Linked DNA regions of Mus musculus. The protein of the gene in region 1 interacts with the protein of each later gene in a biochemical or structural test. Links are inferred from orthologs where the notes say so. Each region holds a gene or a part of one and is shown on either strand. Other genes may lie near its edges. The genes, in order: Myog, Srf and Csrp3.

Region 1 (7,814 bases):
AGGGTCACTTGACTCCAGTGACCTTTGTTCTCTTTTTCAAGTGTGAAAAGAATGGGCTTTAACACAATTTTCCAGCAACTGGAGCCCATGAGCTGCAGGGTATTCACGGAGGACCCTTGTTCTTGGCTAGCACTAGACCCTTGGAGGGGCCTAGGAGGACAAGGGACAGACATGTCACAACTGAAGGCAGTCGGGGACAATCCACTCAAGAACACTGGGAGGCACTGGGGCAGAGGGCACAAATCTGAGAAGAGTTCTATTTTTTGCACAGTTGGGTATTTTGGTGGGCCTAAGGGAGAACACTAGACCAGAGGTAGGAATTGGTAATGCAGACACTTACTTTGCCCCACTGTCAGAAGCTCAAAGCTAGACTTAAATATTCCTCTTCAGGCTATCTGAAAGACTGTAAATCCAATGACACAAACTCATAAGGAAGAAAAATCCCACAAACCAGGATGCATGATCGTTTATTCACGATAATCACGACCTTGATGAGACCTACCCTCTGTAGCTTCTTACCTCCTCAAGTTCCCGAGGCTCCACCAAGCCTTTCTCATACTATCTTCTTTAGGGAGGTTAGTTGTGGGGAGGGGCCCAGCTGAGCTTGAGCAAGCGCAGAATGGCCATCAATGCCTGCTCTCTTAAACTGGTTCAGGTTGGTTGACAAAGGACCTGAGAGGACTGAAGGGGACCCAGGATGCACCATATACTGAATCCCTGTCTGCAATGGTTTGGAAATAATCTCCAGGAAACCAGACAAGCAGTACGACCCAATAGCAAATTTGAAGTAGGTGTTTTTGGCCTGTTCCCGATTATAGTTCTTTTAGACCCCGTGTTAATCCTTACACAATCTCTACCTGTGCACTTTGCTTTCAATTTCCCACCCACCTTCTCCCCTTAGGAAGCCAGTCTTTGGAAAAAAAAAAATCTCAAATGAGGAGAACCCTGGCTTCTCCTCTGATTATTCTTTGTCTCTGGCTCCCTTAGCAGAATCTCCTCATCTTTGAGCTGTAGTTGGGGACAGGAATATCCCTGTGCCTGCAGGGAAGGGCAGAAGGTGGTCAGGGGATATGCTGTTTTTCCTTTGAAGAAATGACAGCGTCTGACCCCATTTGTTCTGTATAGTCACTTCCTACTTCTCCGTGGAGCTTAAGGTGACCAATGGATCCAGGGGAGAGATGGAGCTGAAGAAGAAACGTCCTGAAAACCCAGCTCTTTACCCCTAGCCCTAGGTGTGGGCTGGGCACAAGGCACGTGAGCATGCGCAGTGGACCTATTGGGCTGTGAATTGGAACTGTGAATGACGTCTGACTGAAAGTACAACAAACAGAGTATTTTACAGGCCTGCCTCTGTGGGCCCAGGGTTTCTAAGGAATCCGGTCTTTCCCCCAAGCTGTGCGGCACTTGGCTCCTGCGTCTAACAACCAGCTCAGGACTCCAGCTCCACTCACATGATCCACACCCCCCCACTCCCATTTGGACCTCCAAGGGAAAGGTGCAGAGTTTTGGTGGCTCCCCTCTTGATAATATCATTGCAGATGCTCTGATAGCAACCAGTCTTTATTCATTTTTTAAAAAAGGAAATCCAAATAAGTTAGCAAAAGAATTACAAAAGAAAAAAAATTGGCAAAACCACACAATGCTTAGTTAACAAAAGAAGTCACCCCAAGAGCCCCCACCCCCTTCCCTGCCTGTTCCCGGTATCATCAGCACAGGAGACCTTGGTCAGACGGCAGCTTTACAAACAACACACAAAACAATAAACAATACACAAAGCACTGGAAGGTTCCCAAGATCCACTGCAAATGCTTGGCCCCCAGAGGCTTTGGAACCGGATAGCTCCTCCCCCTTCTCTCTCAACTCAGGGCAGGCCCAGCCCAGCCACTGGCTTCAGGAAGAGACTAGAACAGATGTGCACACTTGTCCAGGTCAGGGCACTCATGTCTCTCAAACGGTTTCATTTTGGGGGTGGGGGGTGGAATTCGAGGCATATTATGATAAACAAAAAAGAAGCTCCTGAGTTTGCCCCACTGAGGGACATTAACAAGGGGGCTCTCTGGACTCCATCTTTCTCTCCTCAGAAGAGGATGCTCTCTGCTTTAAGGAGTCAGCTAAATTCCCTCGCTGGGCTGGGTGTTAGCCTTATGTGAATGGGGAGTGGGGAGTCTGGCTTGTGGCAGCCCAGGGCTGTTTTCTGGACATCAGGACAGCCCCACTTAAAAGCCCCCTGCTACAGAAGTGATGGCTTTTGACACCAACTTGGGGGCTCACATGCACACCCAGCCTGACAGACAATCTCAGTTGGGCATGGTTTCGTCTGGGAAGGCAACAGACATATCCTCCACCGTGATGCTGTCCACGATGGACGTAAGGGAGTGCAGATTGTGGGCGTCTGTAGGGTCAGCCGCGAGCAAATGATCTGCAAGAAAAAGTGGGAGAATGTTTCCTGGGCAACTGGTATGGGACCCTTGACACAGATTTTCCAGGACAAAATGGGTAAGGAAGACTCAGGAGTGTTCCCCGCCCCCAGGACACTAGTACTCCCCATGCTGTGTGTGTGCTTGTGGGGTTTTAAAAGTGGCTATCCCTAGGTGAAGCCAGGATATCCTAGGGCACAGGGCACAGTTTTACAACACTGACTGAGTGATCCCCAGGGACCCCTGGGGCAGGAGCAGGCTCTTCTCTCTGAGGTCAGAGACCAGCAGGGAAGTTGCTGGAGGCTCTGACTACTCTTTAGCTGGTCAAGGCTACCGGGAGGCACAGGGTCTCCAGCCCACCATTTGGGGCCCTCAGGTCAGCAAGTTCCTAGAAAAGCTGCTGAAGGGTGATTGGGACAGGGCTTATGGTAAGGGTACAAGCCCAGCCTAGGTAGGGACTAAGGGATTTGAGCCATGTTACCAGGGTCAGGATTCACTTACCTCCTGGGTTGGGACCGAACTCCAGTGCATTGCCCCACTCCGGACTGCAGGAGGCGCTGTGGGAGTTGCATTCACTGGGCACCTGCATGCAAGACAAGGCCAAGGTCCAAGGTCAAGTCTACTGCCAGTCTCAGGTATTTCTCTCTGCCTGGGTTACAGGGTCAGTTGCCTACCCTAGAATGTTACCATAGACATCCTACTTCTAGGTCTTTCCTAGCTTCTAGGATGAGAACTTTGCTTTCATTTCGGCGGTGAGGGTGATAAACCACAGTATTTTGTTACGGTGGCTCCTGAGCAGGCCTGTGGGCATTCTAATGTGTTTCGTCAGGTCAAAAATGAAGGCTGTGGACTTGGGACAAAGCAGGTTTCTTAGGCCACTTTTCCCTCATTTTCACCTAGGCTCACCAAAGCCCTTACTGCAGGCTTGTTTCCGGGCCCCTTCTGTTCTCCTGTGCCAGTCCACCCTACCCCATCTGTATTTTGGAAACAGTATGAGCCCAGAAGGCCACTGGACAGTCTAGCCGACAAGGAAAGGGGTCCAGGGATCCCAAGGGCCCTGCTTTGCACCTGTTCTAGCTCTGGTGGCCCGGGGCTGACCAGGCACCTCCCTCTGGCCCTATCCCTGGATCTGGTGTACTAGCCACTTACCATGGGCTGGGGCCCGCCCCCGCCTCTGTAGCGGAGATCGCGCTCCTCCTGGTTGAGGGAGCTGAGCAAGGCCTGTAGGCGCTCAATGTACTGGATGGCGCTGCGCAGGATCTCCACTTTAGGCAGCCGCTGGTTGGGGTTGAGCAGGGTGCTCCTCTTCAGGGCCTCGAAGGCCTCATTCACTTTCTTGAGCCTGCGCTTCTCCCTCAGTGTGGCTGCCCTCCTCCGGTCCACCGACACAGACTTCCTCTTACACACCTTACATGCCCACGGCAGGCACTGGCCTGGACAATGCTCAGGGGTCCCCAGTCCCTTTTCTTCCAGGGGCCCTCGGGCTTCCGGGCTTAAGCTGAGCTCAGTCCGCTCATAGCCCGGGGGCTCGAAGCCCTGAAGGTGGACAGGAAGGTAGTTTTCCCCATCATAGAAGTGGGGCTCCTGGTAGAAATAGGGGGATGTCTCATACAGCTCCATCAGGTCGGAAAAGGCTTGTTCCTGCCACTGGCCCCCAAGCTCCCGCAGCCCCTCACACCAACTGCTGGGTGCCATTTAAACCCTCCCTGCTGGCATGAACCCAGAGATAAATATAGCCAACGCCACAGAAACCTGAGCCCCCCTCTAAGCTGTTGCTGCACATCAAGACGTTTCCAGTGGATTACATGTGATTCCCCTTCCCTCTCCTTTTGCCCCCACCCCACCCTGCAGGCCTGCCCCTGGCCCAGGCGGCTCCTGTGCACGGGTCGGGAGGCCGTCGGCTGTAATTTGATTAGTTTTCATTTCTCCACAGCCCCTGTGGGGCAGGGAAGGTGGGGGTGGGTGCATTCCCCCGTCTCATCTGCTCCTTTCAATTACTCCTACCCGGGCCTCCTGCCTACTCTCTCCTCCATGGTCCAAGGCAGCTGGTGGACAGGGCAGGAAGGGAACAAGAAAGGGGTTGTCTTGGACGGACGGGAAGGGGTCTTGAAAATCCACTTAGCCTTCTCTTTCCTGCTCAGCAGCACCTTAAACCATACTATGTCAGTCCCATGAGACCCCTAAAGACCTACCACTACCACATCAGGACCACTCCAGATTTGGGGCGTGTGTGTGTGTGTGTGTGTGTGTGTGTGTGTGTGTGTGTCCCTATCGTCCATGGAGGCAAAGACAGAAACCCAGAAGGGCAAATGGATTCAACTTTTGGGTTTCTACAGCTTCTTTGACCAGGTCTCATGATGTTGGGGGTAGATTGAAGTAAGAGAACACAGGGACTTCTTAAGTAAGGGGGGGGGCCTTAAGTAGTAGGGGTCAGGTGAAGTCAGTGTTTAGCAAGGATTAGAACTCACAGACTACTCTACATTGCCTTCTTCTCCCCTAGTCAAGAGCTGTTCAGTCCCCTGTCTGACGCTCTTTTTTAAATTATTTTTTATTAGATATTTTCTTCATTTACATTTCAAATGCTATCCCAAAAGTTCCCTATACCCCCCCTCCCCCCGCCCTGCTCCCCTACCCACTCATTCCCACTTCTTGGCCCTGGCGTTCCCCTGTACTGGGGCATATAGTTTGCAATACCAAGGGGCCTCTCTTCCCAATGATGGCCGACTAGGCCATCTTCTGCTACATATGCAGCTAGAGACATGAGCTCTGGGGGTACTGGTTAGTTCATATTGTTGTTCCACCTATAGGGTTGCAGACCCCTTCAGTTCCTTGGGTACTTTCTCTAGCTCCTCCATTGGGGGCCCTGTGTTCCATCCAATAGCTGACTGTGAGCATCCACTTCTGTATTTGCCAGGCACTGGCATAGCCTCACAAGAGGCAGCTATATCAGGGTTCTTTCAGCAAAATCTTGCTGGCATATGTAATAGTGTCTGTGTTTGGTGGCTGATTATGGGATGGACCCTGTCTGATGCTCTTAATCATCTCTTCTGTGCTTTCCCCTCAATAATGCCTTCTGGCACTAGAACCGTTTTGACTCTTTCCTTTCTGTAGAAGGGTCGATAAGGAGAAAGAGTCCTTTGCATCATTTGTCTGTCCTGGGCCACCAGGCTGGCCTCTTCTATTCCTTCCTGCCTGAGTCATCACCTTTGCCTGCGTCATACAACTCTAGAATGTCAGGTGGGGGAGGGGCCATTCCCATTGAATCTTGGCCTCTGTCAGCCAGAAGATACCTCAGGAGAGGCATTGGTAGCCAGGGAGGACCAGTTCTAAAGAGCAGTGTGCAGGCCTCTGGCCACCTTTCACCCAGCCTCTGATTCCCAAATCTCTTTGCCTGTGGCTGTCATGTGACCTGAAGCTTCAGGAATTCTGGATTTGGAGCCACAAACTTTCACCTATGGCTCAGACTTTTCCCCAGGACCCCGCAGACTAGGTGTGATCTGTCCTGCTATCCCTGCTCCAATGCAGGAGGAGATGGCTACATCCTAACTACCAGTCAGGACACTAGGAGAAGGGTGGAGTTGTCTGTGGGGGATGGAGTGGGGTGGGGTGGGGGGCTCAGGGAGGGCTCCTTTCATAGCAGCCGTGAGAGCTGTATGGGGTTTGAAGGACCGGCCTTCTCTCTTCTCTTAAGCCACAGAGAAGAGCCAAGAAAGTGCTGTCTTTTAAAGGAGGAAACAGGTGTGTGAGGGGGGACATACTGAGCAATAAAAGAGCCCCAAGCAAATTGGGACACACTGAGGCCTTAAGTCAGTTCTTGACTTTACTTGGGGATACAAAGTGCAGCACATTATTGTGGGTTCTAAACGTTCAACACACTTTCCACCTCCTCAAAGTGAAGAAGCAAACAAACAAAAATTTACCTTGCTTCAGGTTATACTCCAGCCCTGTGAGCCCTAAAAAGAGAGGGATGTCATACCTGCTGTGGAAACTGCCAAATTGTATCTTTTGTCCTTGGGGGACTCAATCCCACTTACCCTAAACAATCTGTGTTCTTTTGAAGTGGGAGCAGAAAGGACTTATTCTTTGATGCCTTGCAGGTTCCTGCTGCCTGGTACAAGAGCCTGGACCCTTAGCAGCGAATGCCCCATTGCAAAGCTGTTAATGTTGTAGCCAATGAGGTGGCAGAAAGCTGGGTGGGCATGGTGGCACATACCTTTAATTCCGTACTTGGAAGGGCCAAGGCAGGAGGATTGCCAGTTCCAGGCTAGTCTGGGCTAGTTGCGAGACTCTGTCTCAGACAAAATAAAAAAAACAAAACCTAACAGGGACGAGGATCACTTGCAAACCAATGGCAAAGTCACTGGAGGCTAAGCCTCCGAGGAGGGCTGCGGAGGAGTCAAGTCCTGGACCAGGTCTTGGGGAATCAGCAGAATGAGGCCATGAAGAGGTGAGAAGAGGAAGGTGTGTGGGTGATCAGAGTGTGTGGATCTCAGGGTGGTGACGACTGAAAACGAGTCTATGAGGGTAAGAGGCTCGACTGGGTATGAAGAGACTTCAGAACTGAAGCAAGAAAACCTCATTACCCCACCCCATCCAACCCCGCTTGACAGTAATCCAGGAGTGAGATGATAAAGGCATGAACCATCGGCTTACGGGTGGGAGGGTGAATTTGACTGGGAAAAAACTCATAGTTCAAATTGGCAGCAGATGCCGTGTGTGTGTGTGTGTGTGTGTGTGTGTGTGTGTACATGTGCACCTGTGTGTGTGTGTGCACATGTGCACCTGTGTGTACCCAGCGCATCAAAACACCCAATGAATACAAGACTTATTCCCTGCATGGCCATCTGTTTCTGTGCTCTCACCTATTCTTAGCCTCATGCTCCTCAAATCAGGTGTCTACACTGACCCTATGGACCAGGGTCAGGATCGGGGGAGGGAACTCCCTCCCCCCCCCTTTTTTTTGAGACACAGTTTCTTTGTGTACCTCTGTCCTGAACTCACTCTGTAAAACAGGGCTGGCCTCAAACTCACAGAGATTCCCCCTACCTTTGCCTCCCAAGTGCTAGGATTAAAGTTGTACACTATCATACCTTGCTTACCCACTGCCTCCCCCCATGATTTCAATCAAGAAACTGTGTCCTGTGCATTGGGTACTAGGTGACATGAACAGGATGTCATCTACCTGCTACCCTGTGTGCACAGTTGAGTGACAATTGTGTACTAAAATTCACCTTTCCAAGGTAGGGAGTGCTGCGAGACAAGGGGGAGGGCTAGAAAAAAAGGACAAATATAACCCAGAAGAAAAATCGATTCTTTTTCTCCTTCCTCTATTCAACCCTGCTCCGTGTTGGTCCCTGGGTGGGCACGAGGGCAGTGACTAGACATAGCTCTGGTCTG
Region 2 (6,970 bases), on another chromosome or scaffold:
TCTACAGAGTGAGTTCCAGGACAGCCAGGGCTACACAGAGCAACCCTGTCTCGAAAAAAGCAAATAAAATAAATAAATCTGTGTGTATGAATTTTGTTTGTGTATTTGTCTGTGCAGCACTTGCCTGGTGCCCTTGGAGGCCAGGGAAGGCATCAGATCCCCTGGAAGTCGAGTTAGACATGGTTTTCAGCATTATATGGGTGCTGGGGATTGAACCCAGGGCTTCCTGGGTGCTAGGCAAACACTCCACCAACTGAGCTACATCCCCAGGTCCATAAATCTCCTTTCTAAAAGGCTATGAATTTAAGCCTGGTGTGCCTATAATCTTGATATTCAGGAGACTGAGGCAAAAGAATCACAAATTCCGAGGTTAGGCTTGGCTACACACAGAAAGTTCCTGGCTAAGCCCAAACTACACAGTAAGATTGTCTTTAAGGGCTGGAGAGATGGTTCAGTGGTTAAGAGCACTGTCTGCTCTTCCAGAGGTCCTGAGTTCAATTGCCAACAACCACATGGCGGCTCACAACCATCTGTAATGGGATCCGATGCCTTCTTCTGGTGTGTCTTAAGACAGTTACTCATATAAATAAAATAAATGAATCTTTAAAACAGAAACCAAACTGAACATTCGTTAGCACAGAACTGCTCAGTAAAAAAAATGTATTACAGCATAATCTATTCTTAGATGGGGACAGTAGGTTGCAGGCATCAGATAAGAAAGGTTGTTAAAGCAGAATATTAATGAAAATAAAACGACTAGGGAAAGGTATGTGTGATTTGAAACAGTGCAATGGAGAGAGTAAAATAGAAGGTGTACCTGGATAAAAGAACCAGTTATCCAGGCAGGAGTCATGTCAGGGTGCACGGACAGGAGGCAAGCAGAAGAAAGGAGGAGTCATATAAGATGTGAACTTCTGTGTGGATGGGATTCACTTAGCATGGAAGGAAGGCTAGGCGATAACCATTGATGCTCTTATAGCTGTTGACAAACATGGGGCCAAGCCAAACCATCTTCTAGGCCTGGGGGGCGGGGATGGCATAGGGAGGGCCTAAACCAGAAGCTCTAAATAGGGGTGTGAAGGTGACGCCTGACTGCCGGGACTGAGAACAGAAAGCAGCACGATCGCGTCCAAGCTAGACTCCAGAGAGGTGGCGGAGGAGCCCGCTCAACACCAAGCGGGGAATAATGGCCTGGGGGAGCGGGGCGGCGCGGGGTGAGCATGGCGGGGCGCGGTCGCGAGCTGACAGGACCTGCTTCCCCGACTTCTCCCTCTAGTCCGGGAGGAAGGGATGAGGGACTTGGAGGGGGTTGGGAAAAGAAGGGATGGCTCGGTGCAGAGCTTTCTTCTCACCTCTCACCGCCCTCCCGGCTGGACCCTCGCTGTCACCCAGCAGCGGGTCCCGCAACTGGGCCCGCCTCCTCCACAGCTCTTTTCCGGGTCACACGCCGGGCGCACGCACGACCCGGGCGACTACGGGTCCTACGGTGGCCCACTGCGAGCGTGGCAAAGCGGCGCGTGAGTGGAGCATGCGTATTAGCCGAGGGAGTCAGCAACCAGTGTCCTTCCCAGGTAGTCCGGTGTGAAGCATCCTGCGCTCCACCGGGTCCATCTTCCTCTCCCACCCACCACAGCAATCATCTCCGCATTAGTTAACCCATACTCCCATCACCGGACTTGTGTGTGTGTGTTGTTGTTGTTTCCCAGCGCTGCCCAAACCCTGCGGTATTTTAGATCATTGGGTCACTTTGACTTTTAAGTAAAACCCCTGACCTTCCCTGAGCTGCTGGCAAAACCATGCATTAAGTCCTCGCCCAGATCTCTTCAATCATGTAGGATTGAACAGTCCAAAGCACACCGCAGCTTGGGACAGACTTTAAGGGATTGTGCTCCCTCCTCCCTCCCGATGCTAAAAAGATCCCAAAGACACAGCCAAAGACCCCAGTCTGTGCACAAAAATGATACATTTATTGAAAGAGTATTTTTTTAATACAAAAGAAAGCTCTGTACAGAAGATGTGACCATGTCCACTATTCCTGGGTCAACATCCCAGGAGAAGTAGAAACCACGGATATACCACACGCACTCCACATTCACACACGTATTCACTCGGACACAGGCGCGCGCACACACCCCTAGAGCCACTTAATTAGGGATACACCAAGGGTTGCTGCACATAGAAATGCCACCTCAGTCCTGCCTGACAAACAGGTTCTCCCAAGGCCACAATCACACAGCACACGTTGGTAAGCACTTGGCCTGAATCACTTGCCCAGGCTCTATCTTTTGTGAGGAGGAATCAACACCTCCGGTGTTGGGGGAGGGGCCATGAGTGGGCGGCAGAGGAGTGAAACAGGAGCAGAGAAGGGGGCTGGGCAGTTACAGACCTGAGTCCCAAGCTCCCCAACTCTGACCCCTGGTTTACCATGCCCCAGTCTTGAAAGCCACCCAAACGCCCCAGCTATTTCCAGGAGAAAGGCCAGAAAGGTGGCATCCCAGCTGGGGAAGACAGTAATGGGGATTAGAGGTTCAGGGGGCTCTTAAACGTCAGCAGATCATCCCCATGAAACGTAGGCTGTGCATAAAACCTTCCCAACCCCTCCACCTAACCGCAGAAGTAGGCTTGTTCCTACTGAAGGCAGCAACAAGGGTTTAGTGACACCCTACCCCAACTGCCCTCCCGGAAAAAGCTCCTTTAATGGATACAGGTGGTTTAGGCTGGCTCTGACACAGGGTAAAACACCCTCCCCTATGCTAGCCCACCCTCAAGGTCCCCAAAGGGATTTTAAGGGATGGGGCATGGCCCTGTACAAATTACATAAATACTGAGGTTACACTTAGAAAAATAAAGTCATTTTCTTCAAGGCTTTTTGTCTTAATTTAAAAAAGTTACAGTAGCTGCTCACTCCCTGGGAGAGCTGCCCACCTCTGGCCCCCCATTGCTGCACTCAGCCCAAGAGCTTTTACCTCTGACCCCCATTCCTGTATCTCCCTACCTCCCGAACTCCATCCTGCCCACTGCACCTTGGGCCCCAGGTATCTGCAAGCCTGGGGGAGCACAGGCTGCAACGACCATACTGTGGCACAAAGGACATCAATCTCCTCTCCCTGACCCCTCCCACCCCACCCCCACATTTGGTCTCCATCTTCCCTTTTCCTAGCAACAACCCTAGAGGGCAAAAGAGGCCTAGAACTGCGGGACCTCCCATCCCCCTTCTGTGGCTTGGCCTGAGGGCCCCTCCCCCACCTTTCTCCTGGAAAGAACCCAGGATGTGGAGCAATCCCAGAATCTCCCACACACACACACTGGTGGACCCCAAGCTCATGGGGTGGCTGTCCCCAGGGGCCCAGACAGTTCTAGGGAGCCCAAGAGCTTCCCCAAGAGGAGTTTGGGCAGGGAGGGGGATGAGAAAAACGCCATTAAAAAAAAGTTAAATATTTTAAAAATATATATTTATAGATTTGTTTTCACGTCATCTCCTCAAATAAAAAGTTCAAAATCAACTCTTAAGTAAAGCAGCTGGGAGAAGGGGGAAGACCAAGGGGAGGAAGAGACCGCTAACAGTGGTTCCCTCCAACCCAGGAGCCCCTGCAGGTCCGCGGGAACAGAGGCAAGGCAGGGCAGGCGGCCCCAGTAACCTGCCCGGTGCACAGGCCCAGCTGCTTCAGGAGCTGAAAGGGGCAGAGGGCATCGGCTGAGGGCACAAGCCCCCATATCTCTCCCAGCTGGCTCCCTGAGGGGCAGGGGCCGGGCTCTTTTGACCCAGACCATGGCAGACACAAAGCTAACCAGAGGTCGCCAAAGAGGCTGGAGAGAGGGCCCCAAATGTTTCCTCGGACGGGAACACTGTGCCCAGTCCCACAGAAGGCCTGTGAGTGGGAAGGTGGCACAGTCCCATCGGGTCAGCTAATACTCATAGCAAATTGAGCCAGGCTGGCAGGGGGTCTGAGGAGGGAGGAGAGCTGCACCATCAACAGCATGACAGGCAGAGCAGGAAGGAGGGCAGCTGGGGAGGGCAGGCAGGCCCGTTTCTTTGGCTGGAGTGAGAGGGCATAGTCCTGTGGCTGCCCGCTCCTTCTCCCCGCCTCCCTCCTTCGGCCAGTCAGTGTGTGTGTAAAGAAACCGTGAAAAGGCAACAATAAATAAGTGGTGCCGTCCCTTGGGCCGTCTGTCCAGGGTGACGGGCGGATCATTCACTCTTGGTGCTGTGGGTGGCATCCAGGTTCACCACCTGTAGCTCGGTGAGGTTGCTGCTGCTCCCAGCTTGCTGCCCTATCACAGCCATCTGTAAGGAGGGAGGTGTGTAAAGATGGGTAAGGAAAAATACGAAAAAAAGTCTTAAATTATGTTAAATAATAAAATTAAAAGTCTTCATTAAAAAAAAAAAAAAAAAAAAAAAAAAAAAAAAAAGGAGGGAGGTGTGTGAGGACAGGAGGGAGAGACCGACCAGCAGGCTGAGCTCGGGCGCCTCCTGCTGGCCTGCCGTTCTAGTACTTGCCCAGGGGAGACTGGCTGAGTGGGCCAGGTCAGAGTCCACCTTACCTGGTGAAGCTGAACTGCAGAGACAGGGATCTGCACGGTCCCAGACGGTGCTGTCAGGAACACCTGAGGGACACCACCTGCATCGGAAAGCATGGGAGATACTCACTAACTTGCTCAAGAGGAGCCCTAGATACTGGAGGAGCATGATATTCACAAGTGTCTGGGAAGCCTCAGACACGTGCCCAAGGGTGTGTGCCCATAGCGTCCGTCTCACGCACAGCATGAGGGTGCCTGTGGTGTGAGGGTTTACATGCGCAAGAGTGTCCACTGAGTGTGAGATCCTTGCAATTGTGCAGGAGTATGTGTGGGCATTGGGAGAGGGGGTGGAGTGAGGGTGCATGTTGGCGCTGGAGCCTGTGGAAGGGAGAGATAAATGGTCCTTCTTGCTTCAGCCCTGCCCTTCCCTCACCTGGCTCCTGGACCTGGCTGTGGGACACCTGCATGGTGGATGGTGCCTGAGAGAAGGCATTGAGCACGGTGAGGCTGCCATCAGCCAGGCCTGAGGTGGGGGCATACATCACTGCATGGGGACTAGGGTACATCATGTGGCCACCCACAGTTGTGGGTACAGACGACGTCATGATGGTGGCGGGCAACGTCACTGGAAAACACAGACACACATCAGGGAGCTGATCCCTCCTGCTATCTCTCATCCTGCCCCAGGGTTCCAACCTTCAGGGTCTTTGTACCATGTCCTATGGCTCGAGTTTTTCAAAAGCTTGTTTCTTTGCTTCCTGTCAACAACAATAAAGTCTAGCTTTTTCCTCTGAGCTCAACAGCCCACTGTTCTACGGTGGGATTGTGCGTCCATCAAAGTCTCTGTTCCCAGACCCTACGATCGCAACCATGACCTCCTCCCAGGAAAGTCAAGGCAGTTTCTTAGGGAACTCCATTGCGCGTATCCTCCTCACTCTTCCTCAACTTACACCTAAGAGGTTCGTCCTCCAGACAAGCACATCTCAGATGTTACTGTAGGAGCTTACTAATGCGCAGACTCTGACTCACTTGAGACTCTTGCTTGTCCCCCGATTCCCAGGCCCTCCAGTCCTAGAGCAGAAGGGATTCAGCTAATGTGTAATAAATAAGGCGGGAATGACAATAACTTACACGTGAGAGTTCACTCTAATTCTTGAAAAGACCAACAGCGGCAGAGAGGAACTAGAGACCTACAGGGAGACCTAGAGTGTCTCATCGGTGACAACTGCTCTCGGGCCTCCCTGGTTACTGAGCAGGTTATTTTTCAATGGTTCCTTATCTCTTGATTCCCCACTGCAGAGCAGGGCTCAAACCTTAGCGTGCTTACCTAGGTCTCTTCTAAGGATGAGAGAAAAAGTCCAGGCTCTACTTAGTGAATTCCCTGCGGTCCTGAGCATGGGAGAGACATGCCGCTAAGTCCCTACTTCTAGGCTTCCTGTGGGAAGGCAGGGCACTGGGGGCTGGGGAGGAGAGTGGCAAAGAGTTATACCTGTCCCGCTGGAGGAGGTCTGCGTGAGGTCTGTGCTGCTGTCACGAGAGGGAGACGCTTGCTGTGGGGCCTGGTGCACATGAATGGCCTGCACAGGGACCTGCTGGGCCACTGCCCCACCTATAAGACACAGTGTTTTACTTGGGTTCCAGCCTATGCAGCTGCCGCCTTCAAACATGCTGGACTACTGTATTCCCAGGCCCATGCCCTGGCTCCCCTGGGACCTGAAGACATCCTATATGCTCTGAATGAAGTGAGTCCCCTCTTCCTCCTGTCCCAAGCTCTGCTCCATCTTCAGCTGACCAGGAGCTAGCCTTAATCTATCAAGGCCATAATCTGTCCCCAGTCACAACAGACGAGGGGGAGAGCCATCCCCACAGCAGTGGAGGTGCAAGGGCGAGCTGGTCAGACAACACCAGTGTGGAAATGAACTTAAACCACCACCAACAACAGGGATCTCACTGGGCAGAGATTGTCTTCCAAAGGGAGGCGAGATGATTCTCTTTGGCTCTAACCCATTTTACCCTCCTTGTCAAAGAAAGAGGTCCTCCTGGAACCAGTCCTAAAATCACTCAACACCCTCAATTTGTCCCAGAGAGAACAAACCTCTCCCTGCCCCTTGTGACTCACCAGGCATGAGGGTGAAGCTGGTAGGCAGCTGCATAAGGCCCCCAGAGGAGACAGGGCCGCTGCCTGTACTCTTGAGCACAGTCCCGTTGGCACTGCTGACAGCGCTGGGGCTGACACTAGCAGACACTGGTGCCAGGTAGTTGGTGATGGGGAAGGAGGGGCCGCTGCTGACTTGCATGGTGGTAGAGGTGCTGGGTGCTGTCTGGATTGTGGAGGTGGTACCCGGCAGGTTGGTGACTGTGAATGCTGGCTTCAGTGTGTCCTATACACAGAGTAAAGATGGAGCAGTGAGCTTCTAACAGGGACTTTACCCCTGAAGCAGCTTTGTGTGAA
Region 3 (7,512 bases), on another chromosome or scaffold:
GGAGTGATGCTTACGCCAAGAGTTGGAGCAGAGACCTCCAGCCGCTCAGTAACTTGTTCAGCTCACTGCTGGCTCGCTGGCCAAGTCTAACAGAAGCTTCCACATGGTGAGTTGAACGTCAACATGGGCTGAGACAAAGTTCTCATAGGAACCCTGCCTGGACTTTGTGATAGAGTTAGTACTATCTCAGAAATTGCCACTGATGTGAAAGGTTCTAGAGCACTGGCCTTGGAGCAGACACTGCAGTAACACCTGACCAGTAACCCTTCCAGGCAGGTGCTGTTGAAACCAACTGTTCAGGTAGGGAAATGTGCGCTTGGGGAATTAACATCCCTGTCCTAGAGAGTGGAACTCCACTCTCTGACTCCAGACCTGTGCTCCCATACTGATGCCAATCACTGTTCATGCTTGCATCAATGCATTTCATACATTATCGGTGATACTTACAGCAGCCCAACACAGTAAATTGTGCTGTTCCTAAGCTGGAAATGAGAAAACTATACAGAAAGCTAGATAGATAGTTTGACCAAGATCACACAACCAAAAAATGGGAGAGCTACATTTAAAAGGCTAATTAACTTGACCCTTATACAAGCTTCTGCTATAACATGTCTTCCAGGAGACAGACATGGGTGAGCAATTCCAGTGACCAAGCATCTCATCTGGTGGGAACTGAGGTCTTATAGATCCATCATCTCTTTATGGGGCATAGAAAGCATTGATAAGAGGAGTCTTGGGGGCTTCAACTTGGTAACATAAGGGACAACCCAGGAATAAGTGGTGTTCAAACACGGAAGGACTCCTCTAAAGCTGGAAGTCTCTTTTCATTGTTGATTCTCATCTCCTTTGGGAATGGACATCTATGTAACTAAAATACAGCAAAGCATCCTTCAAGCCCTGAGACCAATTTTAAGGACCTGAACTGTGAATGATAGAAGCCTCTCTTTGCAGAAACGCTGCTCAGCAGAGTTCCCTCTTAAGTGCCATCTCTTCTCTTAATTCAGCAAGGCAGACAATGAAGTGTGAGAAGGCGCAGGCTTTTAAAAGAACTAAAGCTCCATTCAGGACATTAGCAGTCTGATCTGGGGCACACGGCTCTGACTCCTGAGCACAGCCCCCATGGATGTCAAAATGAGCAGGTTTGTCCCAGGATGCTGAAGGCAATAACAGTGACTACATATACACTCTTAGTGCACACAAGGATCCAATGATTGTTGCTGCCTTTAGATTACCACGATAGTTGATTGATGTGATTTGCTGTGCAGTGTTTGAATCTCTTTTTGTAAAACAAGCAAACCTCTCTCTTTTTTTCCCTTCTTTGTGAGTATTCATTTCAGACCACAAATCAACTGTTTCTCCAGTTTTTAGAATCTCAGCCACCCATGTGTGGGTGTCAGCCCAGGGGAGTGTCTGCTCGCATCTCAGGCTGCCTGTATCACTGACTGAGTTGGCCTCCGACCCACTCTGCCTCTCTGAAGCTCTCGCTGAGCTTGACTTACCAATCACAGGGGCTTTGAAGGGAAGCAAGCCCGTAGAGAGTTCCTATGGCTGAGGAGAAGCTCACCCATTTTGCTCCTACAGTAAGAGTCGAGGGCAGTGGGTGGCTTCCTCCTGATCGTATAAGCCAGGTGTATGTATGAAGTCTCTCCACCACCACCTTTCATAAAGCCTTGGAAGCCCTTGGTGCTTAGAAATAGCCATGAATGTTGGCTCTCAGGCATGGAGGACATGTGACTAGCGAGACAATAATGCGCAATTGCAGTACCCTGCTCTGAAATTATCTCTGTAGTATGCTTACTTCTGTTCTTGGTTCTGCTTTGACCTTTGTGCTTTAAAGACCACGCCGTACCCTGATCACATCTTGGCTCTGCTGCTTTCGGGCCATGTGACCCTGTGTGATTGCAGCAGTCCCTTGAACTTTAGTTTCTTCCCCTACAGAATGGCTTTTCCAGGACTTTCTGAGACTCTAGGGAAGCCCCCACATGCTCTGAACTTGCATGAGAGCAGGTAAGCAGCAGTCGATGCTGGCCGCTGTGTCCAACAATGACCTTAGTGGAGCTCTGCGTAGGCCCTGAGCTTCAGAGCTCCTAGAAAAATCCCTGCACCTCTCAGTTTCCACCTAGGCAGGAATCATATTTCTCTTTGGACTTGACTCCCAGCTCTCTATACAGTGAGTATTCCCAGACATCTGGGCAGCATGCTTGCGCTTGGAAGGCTGCCTGCCTGGAGTTGTATTTCCTGTATACGATACTCCTAGGCCTGTATCCATTCTCTTGACAAACACATCAATCACCTCTCACCACTGACCAGCTTGTTAGCCACTCCGACTGCCAGACTTTGTCATCATCTCGTACTTCACAGGGCATCCATCCTAATGCAGAGAAGGCCCTGCACCCTTTCTGAAAGGCTTCATTTATGCATGCAGCCATATTGAATTCATAAAGTACTTCCCTGGATCTTATTTAGCCCACGCAAATCCCTGGAGATAGGTGGTCATCCTTTATTTTACTGTTCTGAAAGTGACAATTGGGAAGCTAAGAGATACGCAGTTATGATTTGAACCTTTGACTCTTGTTTACTTTGCTTTTCTTCCTATGGTTCCCAAGAGTTAAGAGTTTGCATCTAAGCCAGGCGATGGTGGCGCACGCCTTTAATCCCAGCACTTGGGAGGCAGAGGCAGGCGGATTTCTAGGTTCGAGGCCAGCCTGGTCTACAAAGTGAGTTCCAGGACAGCCAGGGCTACACAAAGAAACCCAGTCTCAAAAAGAAAGAAAAAAAAAAGAGTTTGCATCTATCACAGTTCTGCATCTATCATAGTTCTGTTTCCATTTCCTGGGTGAGGTCCTTCTGGTTTGTCTGCTGCATGGTGCCACTTGCTCCTCTGCCCCCAGGCTGCCTCTCTGCTGAGCTCCCTTGCCTCTGACAGATATTTTGTATGTCCAGGCAGACACTAAGCCCTGGCTCAGCTATACCTCCTCTTAACCGTGGGAGCTCCTCACACTGAACACCAAGGAGAGGGTTATTCAGAAATAAATCAAAGCCAAATCAGGAAACTCTCCACATTTTCTGGGACATAAAACAGTTTTACACACACTGCAATGAACTGGTTGAACGATGGAGCATTTTGTAATGGAGAGGGCTGTGGTCATTTCATGCAGATGGCCATCGCCTTGCTTCCTATGAGATAGCCCTGGTCTTTGTTTTGTAAAAGCCAGCATAGCATGCTCCTCTTACCTTGTTTCCCTTAATGCTCAGCCCTCAAAGGAAACTGAGTATGCAGACTACCCCCATTCCCCTACTCTACTTCGCGGCTTGTGCCTCCCTCTGCTCTAGCCCTGAGCTAGGAGGCAGTCCATACTGCTTATTAACTGGCGTTGCACCACACCACAATTAGACGAGCGCCCTCCAATGGTTACCCAGCTCCCCCATGGAGGGGTCACCACCATGGCTAAGGGCCAGAACAGACGTCAGAGGTGGCAGCTTTGATCTGCACAGCATCCAGGCCATTGCTTAAAACCATGTCTTGTTCTCATTGACTGGATATTGAAAAGAAACCCTTGATTGAGACCTGGAGAGAATACTGGGAGTCACCTCTCATCACGGGCAAGGAATTCATCTTCCCATTTAATAAGAGGTTGTAATGAGGTTTCAGCATCATGATGTCTTTTCTAAGGACCAGTTTTGATTAATTTTAGACAGCTAAAAGCATGCCTGTGGCTGAACATCTTTGGTGTGTGTTTATTTTAAAACAACCAATCTGGGATCTCATTCATCCACCCACACCTTGTGAGCAGCAGCGTTTCATGAACTGAGGTGGGAAAGGTGCTCTTCTGTGCTATCGGATATCTGACAGATCTGATATACTATACAGTTGTCTCATAACCATATAGCAATGTGGAGTTTAAATAATGTCACTACTTTCCTATCAAACCCTTGAAGGAAAAGTGAGCAAGACCCCTCCTTAGAGCTACTCATTTGTGTCTTCTGTGGCCGATCTGAGGCTGCGGTGTACATCTGAACTTCATCTTACTCTGCTTTCCTGTCATCTGCCTCAGAAGATGGGACCATTCCACTATGACAATGACTTTAGACCCAGATTAATCCCATGCCCATTGCTCCCAACTTTTTGTTTTGTTTTGCTTTGTTTTTAGGGTGCCAGGAAATCAAATGCAGACCTTCACACATGCTCCCCAAGTCCTGCCACCCAATATCAATCATACTTTTAGGAAGTTCAAAACTAATGCTAGAGCTGTATATGGGTCAAGTATATAAACTTGATCCTCCTCATCTGTAGCCAGGGTGGGTGCTGAGACTTGGTTGTAAAATATGCCTCCACTGTATAGGACTCCGTAAAGTCCCATCCAGTCACCCAGTCAGTCAGCCAGCCCGCCCAAATGCCTGTTGTGGTCTACTTACCTGCCTGCCTGTGTGGTCTCTGCCGGCTCAACTGAGTAAGGGGACTCTTGTCCTCTTTAAATATATAGAGGCTGTCACCAGTCTTGGCTCGCTGAGGGAAGGGCAGTGGGGAGGCTGAGGAGAGGGGGTGAATAAGACACGAGTAACACAATTGCCAAAAATAGCCCGTGACCAAAGCCCTTAGTTGTGTTCCCCACCCCACCCCCCATGCCAGCCGGGAGCCTCCCGGAGAACAATATCAGTTGGGTTCTATTTTAATTGCCATTTGCCTAAGGCACCAAGGGATGCATTTGTGAAGTGTACAGCTTCTGACTGAAGACTTCGACTTGTACAAAGGGTTTTATATTTAAAATCATTTTTGCAACACTCCCTTCCACACACCCCCACCCCCATGCCCTGCCTGTTCTGGAAATCAGTGCAGGCTACCTGCAAATGGATCATGAGCCATGCCTGGGAGCCCTTTGGAATTCCAAGACCCAGGTCATTGCACTGTGAGAACTCAGAGCTAAAAATAAGAGTGATGGGGGCCTGGCGCACACTTAACTAATCTCTTCAAGGAGGGCGTGTGGGGAGGTGGGACTGACATCAGCTAATCATCAAAGGCCTGTGTATCTAATGAAGAAATGTTTTCTCTCAAGTTTTGAGTCACTATATTGATTAATGGAATATTTCATGGTTTAGACCAGGGCTTGTGGTAATTTCACAAAGATGGGCATAGCATTGCTTTATAAGAAATCTGCTCCATCTGTGTTATCATGGGGAACAGCATAGCTTATTCGTCTGAGATATAAAGCAGAGATGACTGCCCTGCAAGGTCGGGGGATCTTAAGGATTCTTGTAGGATGGCAGTGTTTAAAGTTGAGAGAAAGAGAGAGAGAGAGAGAGAGAGAGAGAGAGAGAGAGAGAGAGAGAGAGAGAGAGAGTGAGTTATAGTTCAGTCCTTGAGGTGAAAGCTAGATGATCAGAAGTTACCATTCTCAGCCATATAACATGTTCGAAGCCAGCCTCTGCCTCAAAAAAAAACAAACAAACATATCAAAAACTTTGAAATAAAACAAAACCCATCAAAATTTTGTGTGCTTTTGACACCAATATTTTTTAACATAATTAATGTTGAATGGGACATCAACACATAAAGTCAATAAAACAAGATTAAAAATGTAACTTTTTAATGTTACATTTTAAAATCTGAGCATTAGAATGTCCTGGGTCAATTCATTAAGAGAGTCTATTCTATATGGACTTTACCAAATTCTTACATAGCCAAAAGGGTCTCAGCTGTGACAAATCTAAGTTTCCCAGGACAGGCTTCTCTGAAACCACAGGCATGTAGGCAAGTCTTCTCTTTTATGTCTTTCTGTGATCTTCCTTCTGTGTATATGTGGTCAGTCGCATGCTTTCTTATAAGGATACCAGTTATATTGGATAAGAGCCTACTCCTATGACCCAGTTCTTTCTCTGAAGCTCCTGTTTCCAAATACAGCACAACATCCTGAGATACTGAGGTCGGAAGGATGTAAATGTGTATTTTTTTAGGGACCAAATTCAATCTGCACTTGGGCGATTATCATGCTTACATCTGAGAATCTATATTCCAAATGGCCTTTAGTCAGAACTGGGAGGGAACCATCTGTAATAGCCCAGCCCTGTTGGAGTGGCCAATGGTGGTGGTGCCAGTTTATTCGGGTTCCTCATTAACTTGTTTCCTTTGGAAACTTTTATGACTTCTTAAATTTCACGATTTTTTTTTTTTTGTCTTTTAAAGTTTATGCCACTTGAAATCTAGTGGGTAATTTCAGTCTGAAAATTCATGGTTTTTCTTTTTAGCTTTGGAAATTTTTAATGTTTTAAATTAATTCCTCCCTCTAATGACTATTAGAAATTAGAACATTTTCTTTTTGTATTTATTCAAATATGTCTTAGCTCACCATTGACTGGAACAGTGGTTCTCAACCTGTGGATATTGACCCCCTTTGAGTTGAATGACCCTTTCACAGGGATCACGTGAGTCCATCAAAAAAACACAAAGATATTTACATTTTGATTAATAACAGTAGCAAAATTACAGATATGAAGTAGCAACAAAAATAATTCTATGGTTGGTGGTTACCATAACGTGAGGAACTGTACTGAAGGGATAAAACCTTAGGAAGGTTGAGAGCCAGTGGCCAAGAATGAATTCTCATTACACCCAAGTATATTCAGCCACTTATTCATTTACTAATTTAAAAATAATTCCGGGGCTGGTGAGATGGCTCAGTGGGTAAGAGTACCCGACTGCTCTTCCAAAGGTCCTGAGTTCAAATCCCAGCAACCACATGGTGGCTCACAACCATCCGTAATGAGATCTGACTCCCTCTTCTGGTGTGTCTGAAGACAGCTACAGCGTACTTACATATAATAAATAAATAAATTAAAATCTTAAAATAATAATAATAATTCCATTTATAAGTTTTTCAAAATTTTGTCTCACCGCATAACCCAGCTGGGTCTTGAACTCAAAATGTTTGTGGGATTGCACTTGGCTCTATATAATTGTTAGCACATCTAATTTTTTTTCTTTTTTTAGCCAGCCCATTCTTGTTCTATGGTTGGCATATCATCCTGAATCTCTACAGACGTTAATGACACTGAGGACAAGTCTATTTTCTCTGTTCTGTTTCCTTGGTTATTGTTTCTTTCATGCATTCACTTTAGGGTTCCTAATAATTTCCCTTCAATAGTGGGGCAGGGATGGATCCTGCTGAACAGTGCTGTGCTGTTTTATCTAGGTATGGGGTGGAAATTTCCAACACCTCTCAAGGTCGCTAGTTCTCTGTGGATCTCTCTAGCTCCTGGCACCTTAGACTTGGGCCACACTGACCCTTGACCTGTTTCCTTGCTCACTATGATGGTGATCGTCAAAGTTTCTCACCTATATTTCTACTGATTCCATTTGAAGTGTCCCCAGAACAGCCCTCACCCTCAGCACTTGGCTCCTCTGTGTGCTTGGGCCCTCTTTCTCCAGCAATCCAAAACTTCTACTTTCTATATATCTTACCTTCTGATGGACACTTTCTGTTTTCCCCTATTCCCTACATTTTTTTTACGTTTTTT

The links.
Region 2: the proteins of Myog (region 1) and Srf form a complex in vitro, tested with the Homo sapiens proteins (2 studies listed by BioGRID and IntAct). The link is inferred for Mus musculus from reciprocal best matches to the Homo sapiens genes MYOG and SRF.
Region 3: the proteins of Myog (region 1) and Csrp3 form a complex in vitro, tested with the Homo sapiens proteins (2 studies listed by BioGRID and IntAct, with this or other methods). The link is inferred for Mus musculus from reciprocal best matches to the Homo sapiens genes MYOG and CSRP3.

Annotation. Positions count from the first base shown.
Region 1 is NC_000067.6:134,286,279-134,294,092, reverse strand, and holds Myog (myogenin), read right to left. Parts: upstream 4,090-7,814; 5' UTR 4,038-4,089; coding exon 3,567-4,037; intron 3,001-3,566; coding exon 2,919-3,000; intron 2,420-2,918; coding exon 2,298-2,419; 3' UTR 1,545-2,297; downstream 1-1,544. UniProt on the Homo sapiens protein: Acts as a transcriptional activator that promotes transcription of muscle-specific target genes and plays a role in muscle differentiation, cell cycle exit and muscle atrophy.
Region 2 is NC_000083.6:46,544,894-46,551,863, forward strand, and holds the end of Srf (serum response factor), read right to left. Parts: intron 6,900-6,970; coding exon 6,638-6,899; intron 6,128-6,637; coding exon 6,008-6,127; intron 5,144-6,007; coding exon 4,952-5,143; intron 4,620-4,951; coding exon 4,543-4,619; intron 4,286-4,542; coding exon 4,190-4,285; 3' UTR 1,946-4,189; downstream 1-1,945. Other genes in the region: Cul9 (cullin-9), read right to left, coding at 818-853. UniProt on the Homo sapiens protein: SRF is a transcription factor that binds to the serum response element (SRE), a short sequence of dyad symmetry located 300 bp to the 5' of the site of transcription initiation of some genes (such as FOS).
Region 3 is NC_000073.6:48,843,582-48,851,093, forward strand, and holds the start of Csrp3 (cysteine and glycine-rich protein 3), read right to left. Parts: upstream 4,471-7,512; 5' UTR 4,417-4,470; intron 91-4,416; exon of another isoform or gene 15-90; intron 1-14. UniProt on the Homo sapiens protein: Positive regulator of myogenesis. Acts as a cofactor for myogenic bHLH transcription factors such as MYOD1, and probably MYOG and MYF6.